Linked DNA regions of Macaca fascicularis. The protein of the gene in region 1 purifies or fractionates together with the protein of each later gene. This does not show direct contact. Links are inferred from orthologs where the notes say so. Each region holds a gene or a part of one and is shown in the gene's direction. Other genes may lie near its edges.

Region 1 (4,387 bases):
CACCCATGCCCAGAACCATCAAGGGGTCCCTTGTGGGTCGTCAGCACTGTCCCTGATGAAAAGACACTATTAATTCCTTTCCAAATGCTTTAATTGCGAGAGCGTCTGATATTCTTGTCTGAACAATCTAAAGAACCCAAAGGGGGCCGCATGGTGGCTCCCGCCTGTAATCCCAGTACTTTGGGAGGCCAAGGCGGGTGGATCAGCTGAGGTCAGGAGTTCGACTAGCTTGACCAACTTAGAGAAACCCCGTCTCTACTAAAAATACAAAATTAGCCGGGCATGGTGGCTCATGCCTGTAATCCCAGCTACTCGGGAGCCTGAGACGGGAGAATCACTTGAACCCATGAGGTGGAGGTTGTGGTGGGCCAAGATTGTGCCACTGCACTCCAGCCTGGGCAACAAAAGCGAAACTCCATCTCAAAAAAAGGAACCCAAACGGTGCAGCTGCCCCTTTTTAGAGGCACATCCACCTCCCCTTACCCACTTCCCTTTTTTGAGACTCAGTCATGCTCTGTCCCCTGGGCTGGAGTGGAGTGGCTCCATCTCAGCTCACTGCAGCCTCGACCTCCTGGGCTCAAGTGATTCTCCCGCCTCAGCCTCCCAAGCACCTGTAACTACAGGCCTGCGCCACCACGCCCGGCTGATTTTTGTATTTTTAGTAGAGACTGGGTTTCGTCACGTTTGCCAGGCTGGTCTCGAACTCCTGACCTCAAGTGATCGGCTGAGGCGGGCGGATCACGAGGTTAGGAGATCGAGACCATCCTGGCTAACACGGTGAAACCCCGTCTCTACTAAAAATACAAAAAATTAGTCGGGCGAGGTGGCGGGCGCCTGTGGTCCCAGCTACTCGGGAGGCTGAGGCAGGAGAATGGCGGGAACCCGGGAGGCGGAGCTTGCAGTGAGTCGACATCCGGCCACTGCACTCCAGCCTGGACGACAGAGCGAGACTCCACCTCAAAAAAAAAAAAAAAAAAGAAAGAAAAAAAAAAAGCACAACAAGAAGGGCCTGGTTTTGCCTCGGGTCCGGTTTCGCTTACGTTTGGGGGAGTCCCCGCCTTATCCCACTGTGTCCCCCACCTCCGATGACTGCCGGCGCCCCGGCCCCAGGCGTGTAGGGGCTACTTCCCAGAGAAGCGGCTGGACCCTGCAGGGCCGAGCCACACAGGCAGACAGGGCCCACCGCTGCCCCCTCGCCGCCACTCCCTACTCCGCGCTGCCCCGGACGGGGTTCCGCTGGTCGCATTCGAGAGCAGGAACTGGCCGCGCGCGCCCTTCCCGGAAACGCCCGCCTGGTCACGTGACCTCCTTGGTTGCACCTGCAGCTCTTTGGGCCCCGCCCCCGGCCCGGACACCATAAAAGCGCCGGCCCTCCGCTTCTCCGCGGTAAGAAACCTCCCGCCCCGGCGACTGTGGCACCCAGGTACTCGGGACCCCGGACCCACGCGGTGCAGGTCCGGGAGTGAGAGACTCACCGGGAGGGGTAGAGCCAAGGGCTGGGGGAGCCTGATGGATGAGGGTCGGGAAGTGAGGGAGGCGGAGGCGGAGGCGGGGGCGGAGGCGGGGGCGGGGGTGGGGCCCGGGGCGGAGGCGGGGGCGGGGCTCTGCGGCGATGAGAACCGGACGGAGATGGGATCGGGGAGGGTGGAAGCGCCACTGTTTTAAGTTTCGCTTTCTCGGAAGCCTGGCCCGCCCCCGACGTGGCTTTTCCCGTCTCCGCAGGGTCCGGCCTGCACCGGCCCGGCAGGCCTGGACACTGGTTCAACACCTGTGACTTCACGTGTGCGCGCCAGCCATACCTGCAGTCACACCTGTAGCCCCCTCTGCCAAGAGATCCACACCGAGGCAGCGTCGGTGGCTACAAGCCCTCAGTCCACACCTGTGACCCCCACCACCTGTGACACCTGGCCACACCTGTGGACACCTGGCCACACGACCTGTGGCCGCGGCCTGGCGTCTGCAGTGACAGGAGCCCTTACCTCCCCTGTTGTAACACCTGACCGCCACCCAACTGCCCCTGCAGAGGGAGCAATGGCCTTGGCTCCTGAGAGGTAAGAGCCCGGCCCACCTTCTCCAGATGCCCGTCCCCGAGCGCCCTGCAGCCAGCCCTGACTCTCCGCGGCCGGGCACCCGCAGGGCGGCCCCACGCGTGCTGTTCGGAGAGTGGCTCCTTGGAGAGATCAGCAGCGGCTGCTATGAGGGGCTGCAGTGGCTGGACGAGGCCCGCACCTGCTTCCGCGTGCCCTGGAAGCACTTCGCGCGCAAGGACCTGAGCGAGGCTGACGCGCGCATCTTCAAGGTGGGACCCCGGCCCCGTCCCGGGTGGGAGGACCCGCCTAGGACCCCGCGGGCCCAGCCCACGTGTTCTCTCCCCCTCTTCAGGCCTGGGCCGTGGCCCGCGGCAGGTGGCCGCCTAGCAGCAGAGGAGGTGACCCGCCGCCCCCCGAGGCCGAGGCTGCGGAGCGCGCCGGCTGGAAAACCAACTTCCGCTGCGCACTGCGCAGCACGCGCCGCTTCGTGATGCTGCGAGATAACTCGGGGGACCCGGCCGACCCGCACAAGGTGTACGCGCTGAGCCCGGAGCTGGGCTGGCGAGGTGAGCGACGCCGGCTGCCAAGCGCGTTGGCATTCGTCCTGCCTGGGGAAAGAACATTCTCTGGGCCGGGCGTGGTGGCTCACGCCTGTAATCCCAGCACTTTGGGAGGCCGAGGTGGGCGGATCACAAGGTCAGGAGATCGAGACCATGGTGAAACCCCGTCTCTACTAAAAATAGAAAAAATTAGCCGGGCGCAGGGGCGGGCGCCTGTAGTCCCAGCTACTCGGGAGGCTGAGGCAGGAGAATGGCGTGAACCCGGGAGGCGGAGCTTGCAGTGAGCTGAGATCCGGCCACTGCACTCCAGCCTGGGCAACAGAGCGAGACTCCGTCTCAAAAAAAAAAAAAAAAAAAAAAGAACATTCTCTGGATCAGAATTGGGTTTTTAGCAGCCGTTCTGGGAGAGGCTGCCAGCAGGCCCAGGACAGTTGGAGCCGCATACCCACCTCCTTAGGCCGCAGCACAAGGAAGCTGGTGCGGGTTACGCCAGGCTCTTGTTGCGTCTCTCACCCTGGTCTCGGAACCTAACACCTGCCCCATTCTCCCTCAGAAGGCCCAGGCACGGACCAGACTGAGGCAGAGGCCCCCGCGGCTGTCCGGCCACCGCAGGTAGTCTTCTCTCTGCCTGCCTCTCCTCCTGCCAGGCCGCGGAGCTGCTTATGCTGACCCTGACTTTTCCTTACAGGGCAGGCCCCCAGGGCCATTCCTGGCACACAGAGATGCTGGACTCCAAGCCCCAGGCCCCTTCCCTGCCCCAGCTGGTGACAAGGGGGACCTCCTGCTCCAGGCAGTGCAACAGAGCTGCCTGGCGGACCATCTGCTGACAGCGTCATGGGGGGCAGACCCAGTCCCAGCCCAGGCTCCTGGAGAGGGACAAGAGGGTCTTCCCCTGACTGGGGCCTGTGCTGGAGGTGTGGGCAGTGCCGTGGAGGGGTGTGTGTGTGGGGGGAAAGCATGGGAGGGGCCAGTGCACCTGGACGGACACTTAAGAAGGGGGCTGGGGATTGGGGAGCTGGAGAAGTAGGAAGGGACCACATTCCCACTGACCTCCCCTCCTCAGGTCCAGGGCTCCCTGCTGGGGAGCTGTGCACATGGGCAGTAGAAGCAACCCCTAGCCCCGGGCCCCAGCCCGCGGCGCTAATGACAGGTGAGAGGGGTAGGGGTTGGGGGGCCTGGGGCACAGGGAGGGGCTGGGGATGAGGTACCAGCACAGGATTCCCTTCCCGATGCAGGCGAGGCCACGGCCCCAGAGCCCCCGCACCAGGCAGAGCCATACCTGGCACCCTCCCCAAGTGCCTGCACTGTGGTGCAAGGTGAGTGGGTCCTGGGAAGGGGACAGCCTGTCCCTGCCCACCTCTGCCGCTCACAGCTTGGTCTCCACACAGAGCCCAGCCCAGGGGCGCTGGACGTGACCATCATGTACAAGGGCCGCACAGTGCTGCAGAAGGTGGTGGGGCACCCGAGCTGCATGTTCCTGTACGGCCCCCCAGACCCAGCTGTCCGGGCCACAGACCCCCAGCAGGTAGCATTCCCCAGCCCTGCTGAGCTCCCCGACCAGAAGCAGCTGCGCTACACGGAGGAACTGCTGAGGCACGTGGCCCCTGGGCTGCAGCTGGAGCTTCGGGGGCCACAGCTGTGGGCCCGGCGCATGGGCAAGTGCAAGGTGTACTGGGAGGTGGGTGGCCCCCCGGGCTCCGCCAGCCCCTCCACCCCAGCCTGCCTGCTGCCTCGGAACTGCGACACCCCCATCTTTGACTTCAGAGTCTTCTTCCAAGGTCAGTGAGGCTCCTGCCT
Region 2 (4,453 bases), about 69 Mb from region 1:
GAGCTACCATATGATCTAGCAACCCTATTGGATACTGCTAGATATATACCCAGAAGAAATACTGTTAGATATATACCCAAGAGAAAGGAAATCAGTATATCAAAGAGATATCTGCACTCCCATGTTTACTGCAGCACTATTCACAGTAGCCAAGATTTGGAAGCAATATAAGTGTCCATCAACAGATAAATGGATAAGGAAAGTATGGTACACATACACAATGGAGTACTCTTCAGCCATAAAAAGAAGAAATTTTCATTTGCTACAAGATGGATGGAATTGGGGATTATTATGTTAGGTAAAATAAACCAAGCACAGGCAAACAAACAAACAGTTATGTTCTCACTTGTTTGTGGAAGCTAAAAATTAAAACAATTGAATTCATTAAGATAGAGAGGATGATGGTTACCAAAGTCTGGGAAGGGTAGTGGGGCAAGGGTGCAGGGGATGATTAATGGGTTCAAAAATACATGACATAGAATGAATAAGATCTAGTGTTTTATAGCATAACAAGATGAATAGAGTCAATAATTTATCATTTTAAAATAACTAAAAGCATGTAATTGGATTGTATATAACACAAATGATAAATGCTTGAGGTGATGGACAGATACCCCACTTACCCTGATGTGATTATTACGGATTGTATGCTCTACCTGCATCAAAATATCTCATGTACCCCATAAATATATACACCTACTATAGACACACAAAATTGAAAATTAAAAAATTACTTTGGTAAATTTTATATTCTGTATGTTTTACGATTAAAAATAAAAATAATATAACCTGAGAATGTCCCTAGCTCAGTGACAAGAACACAGTTGATTGTCAAATGTCAATTCCCTTCTCACCACTCACTGGTGGGACACTTACCTTGGGGTCATGTGAAATAAATCACTCACCTGCAAGTGTTAAAAAAATATTAGTCACATCAGTCACATGAAAATAATTAGCTTCTGGAAGTAAGCAGATGGTGGCACGCGAGGAAGAGCACCGGCCACTCCTCTGCATCAGAAACTTCCTTAAAAGCAGCTTCCAGACATGCACATAGCATCTAGGTGTGGGGTGATGACCAGTGTCAAAGAAAGTAGCCCGGACTCCCCCGTCATGTAGATATTTTACCAAACCGGATAATGAAGACATGGGAGGGAGCGCGCACCCAGGACCACGGGCTACTGAGTTTCCACTCCTTACCAGTCTCAGAGAAGCCCCCTGGGCGTCCAGAGCCTCTGAAGCCTCCCCCAGTCCAACTCTGACTTCTCTCCTCTCACCTCTCTACCTTCTCTCCTCCCACCTCTCTTGCTTCTCATCAGCATTTCTCCACACAAGGCTTTCAAGGCTCTGCTCCTCCCACTGCTCCTCCCTCACTCCTCCCACTCTCCTCCTCCTCCCTCCCCTTTCCTCTCAGACTTGCCTCTGAGCGGAAACTGAAAGTGAAATAGGGAGCTGGCTACCAGCGTTGAGTCCCCTGTAAAGGTGAGTGAACCCCACTAGATCAAGGGACCCCTGCCCTCCTAGGGGACCTCTCTCCCCTGCCCCAGGGTTGCCCAGCCCCTTCAATCAGTCTCCATCCTTGAGCCGGTCCCATTTGCCCCTTCTCGCACCAGGGATCCCTCAACCCAAGACCAGCTGTGCTTCCGGCGCTGGCCCCCTACCTGGGAGGAGGCTGGGGTGTGGACATGACTGCCGAGTTACCCAGAAGGGGAAGGGACCCGGCTGCCCCCTTCCTGGGAGGAGGCTGGGTTGTGGACGTGACTGCCGAGTTACCCAGAAGGGGAAGGGGCCCGGCTGCCCCGATGCTGGCACGTGACCTGGGATGAAGGCTGGGTGCGGCTGGGAGAGCCAGGACTACAGCCTAGCCAGGACGGGTAGGGAGCTCATGTCGGGGAGGTCTGCAATTCTGGAGATTCCCAGGTCCAAAAGTCCTCCAGAGGTGAGAGGGGAAGGCTGTTTAGGATGTTCAACCAGAAATGTATTCAAAATTATTCTTTGCCCTAGAATAAGTGTTGTCAGGAACTAAACTAAGTTTGGAGCAGCTGAGAAAAGAGCCCAGGGAGTGCTGGCCACAGTTCCTGTTGCTCTGTGTGTATACATACATATACACATGCTTGTGTATATACGTATACACCTACATACCTATATACACCTGACATCTGCCGTTATAGGAAGTATTAATGAAGATATATTCAAAGCATGAAGTATGTCTGGCACATGGAAGGTACATGGTAAAAAGTAGCTATAATTTCTCAGCAGCATGGAGGCCTGTTGGTACCAGACAGGAGATGAATGAGCACTGAGGGTTTAAGCAGGAATGGACATGATGAGAGTAGAACTGTCAACAGCTTTATGAGGTTCTTGCCAATTTTCACTCCCTCTTTTAGGGACTTAGTGTCTCCTTCTGTCTCACTGGATCAATGGACCAACAATGGAGGAGTTCTTGTTATTCAGAACAAGAATAAACTTACTCAACAAACTATTTGATCGGTGTAAAAGTAATTACTGTTTTTGACATTAATTGTTTTGCCATTAATTTTATGCCTTTTATTTATTTATTTATTTATTTATTGAGAGGAAGTCTCACTCTGTTGCCCAGGCTGGAGTGCAATGGCAGAATCTCGGCTCACTGTAACCTCTGCCTCCCAGGTTTAAGCAATTCTGCTGCCTCAGCCTCCTGAGTAGCTGGGATTACAAGCGCCCACCACCACTCCCAGCTAATTTTTGTATCTTTCGTAGAGACGGAGTTTTACCATATTGGTCAGGCTGGTCTTGAACTGAACTCCTGACCTAAGGTGATCCACCCACCTCAGCCTCCCAAAGTGCTGGGGTTGCAGGTATGAGCCGCCGTGCCTGACTCATTATTTTTATTTTTCTTTTTTATTTTCCTTTGTGTCATTTTGTTTTTCTTCTTTTTTTAGTTTATTTTTAACTTTTGTGGGCACATAGTAGGTATATTTATGGGGTATATGGAATATTTTGATACAGGTATACTATGTGTCATAATCACATCCGGGTAAATAGGGCATCCATCACCTCAAGCATTGATCATCTGTGATACAAACTATGCAATTATACTCTTAGTTTTCAGTGTACAATTAAATTATTGACTATAGTCACTCTATCGTGCTATCAAATACTAGATCTAATTCACTCCACTTTTGTACTCATTAACCATCCCACCTTCCCCAACACACACACACCCTCCCTGCTACTCTTCCCAGCCTCTGGTAACCATCTTTCTATTTTATCTAACTCCATGAGTTCAATTGTTTTAATTTTTAGCTTCTACAAATGAGTGAGAACATACAATGTTTGTCTTTTGGTGCCTAGCTTATTTCACTTAACATAATGACCTCCAGTTCCATTCATGTTGTTGTGAATGACAGGATCTCATTATATTTTATGACTGAATAGTACTCCATTGTGCATATGTACCACATTTTCTTTATCCATTTATCTGTTGATGGACACTTAGATTGCTTCCAAATCTTGGCTATTGTGAAACATGCTGCCGTAAACGTGGGAATGTAGATATCTCTTTGATATACTGATTTCCTTTCTTTGGGGTATATACTAGCAGTGGGATTGCTGGATCATATGGTAGCCCTATTTTCAGTTTTTTGAAGAACCTCCAAACTGTTCCCTGTAGTGATTGTACTAATTTACCTTCCTACCAATAGCGCGTGAGTGTACCCTTTTCTCCACACCCTCCCCAGCATTTGTTATAGCCTGTCTTTTGGATAAAAGGCATTTTAACTGAGATGAGATTATATCTCATTGTAGTTTTGATTTGCATTTTTCCGATAATGATGTTGAACAACTGTTCATATGCCTGTTTGTCATTTGTGTGTCTTCTTTTGAGAAATGTCTATTCAGATCTTTTGTCCATTTTTGAATCAGATTATTATTTTTTTTCCTATAGAGTGGTTTGAGTTCCTTATATATTCTGGTTATTCACCTTTTGTCAGATGGATAGTTTGCAAATTTTTACTCCAATTCTGTGGGTTGTCTCTTCACTTTGTGGATTGTTTCCTTTGCTGTGCAGCGCCTTTTCAACATGATGTGATCCCATTTGTCCAAGTTTGCTTTGGCTGCCTGTGCTTGTGGGGTATTTGAAAGAAATCTTTGCCCAGTCCAATGTCCTGGAGAGTTTTCCCAATGTTTTCTTGTAATAGTTTAATAGTTTGAGCCCTTAGATTTAAGTCTTTAATCCATTTTGATTTGATTTCTGTATATGGTGAGATATAGGGGTGTAGTTTCATTCTTCTGCACGTGGATATCCAGTTTTCCCAGCAGCATTTTTTGAAGAGACTGTCCTTTCCTCATTGTATGTTCTTGGTACCTTTGTTGAAAATGAGCTCACTGTGGATGTACGGATTTGTTCTGGGTTCTTTATTCTACTGGTCTATGTGTCTGTTTTTATGCCAGTACCATGCTGTTTGGGTTACTTTAG

What was found.
Region 2: the proteins of IRF7 (region 1) and TRIM21 purify together in Homo sapiens (affinity purification with mass spectrometry; 3 studies listed by BioGRID, with this or other methods). This does not show direct contact. The link is inferred for Macaca fascicularis from reciprocal best matches to the Homo sapiens genes IRF7 and TRIM21.

The regions. Positions count from the first base shown.
Region 1 is NC_088388.1:514,903-519,289, reverse strand, and holds the start of IRF7 (interferon regulatory factor 7), read left to right. Parts: upstream 1-1,385; 5' UTR 1,386-1,509; coding exon 1,510-1,527; intron 1,528-1,722; coding exon 1,723-2,051; intron 2,052-2,136; coding exon 2,137-2,299; intron 2,300-2,382; coding exon 2,383-2,596; intron 2,597-3,143; coding exon 3,144-3,202; intron 3,203-3,278; coding exon 3,279-3,504; intron 3,505-3,653; coding exon 3,654-3,740; intron 3,741-3,825; coding exon 3,826-3,906; intron 3,907-3,978; coding exon 3,979-4,368; intron 4,369-4,387.
Region 2 is NC_088388.1:70,002,505-70,006,957, forward strand, and holds the start of TRIM21 (E3 ubiquitin-protein ligase TRIM21), read left to right. Parts: upstream 1-1,432; 5' UTR 1,433-1,479; intron 1,480-4,453. UniProt on the Homo sapiens protein: E3 ubiquitin-protein ligase whose activity is dependent on E2 enzymes, UBE2D1, UBE2D2, UBE2E1 and UBE2E2.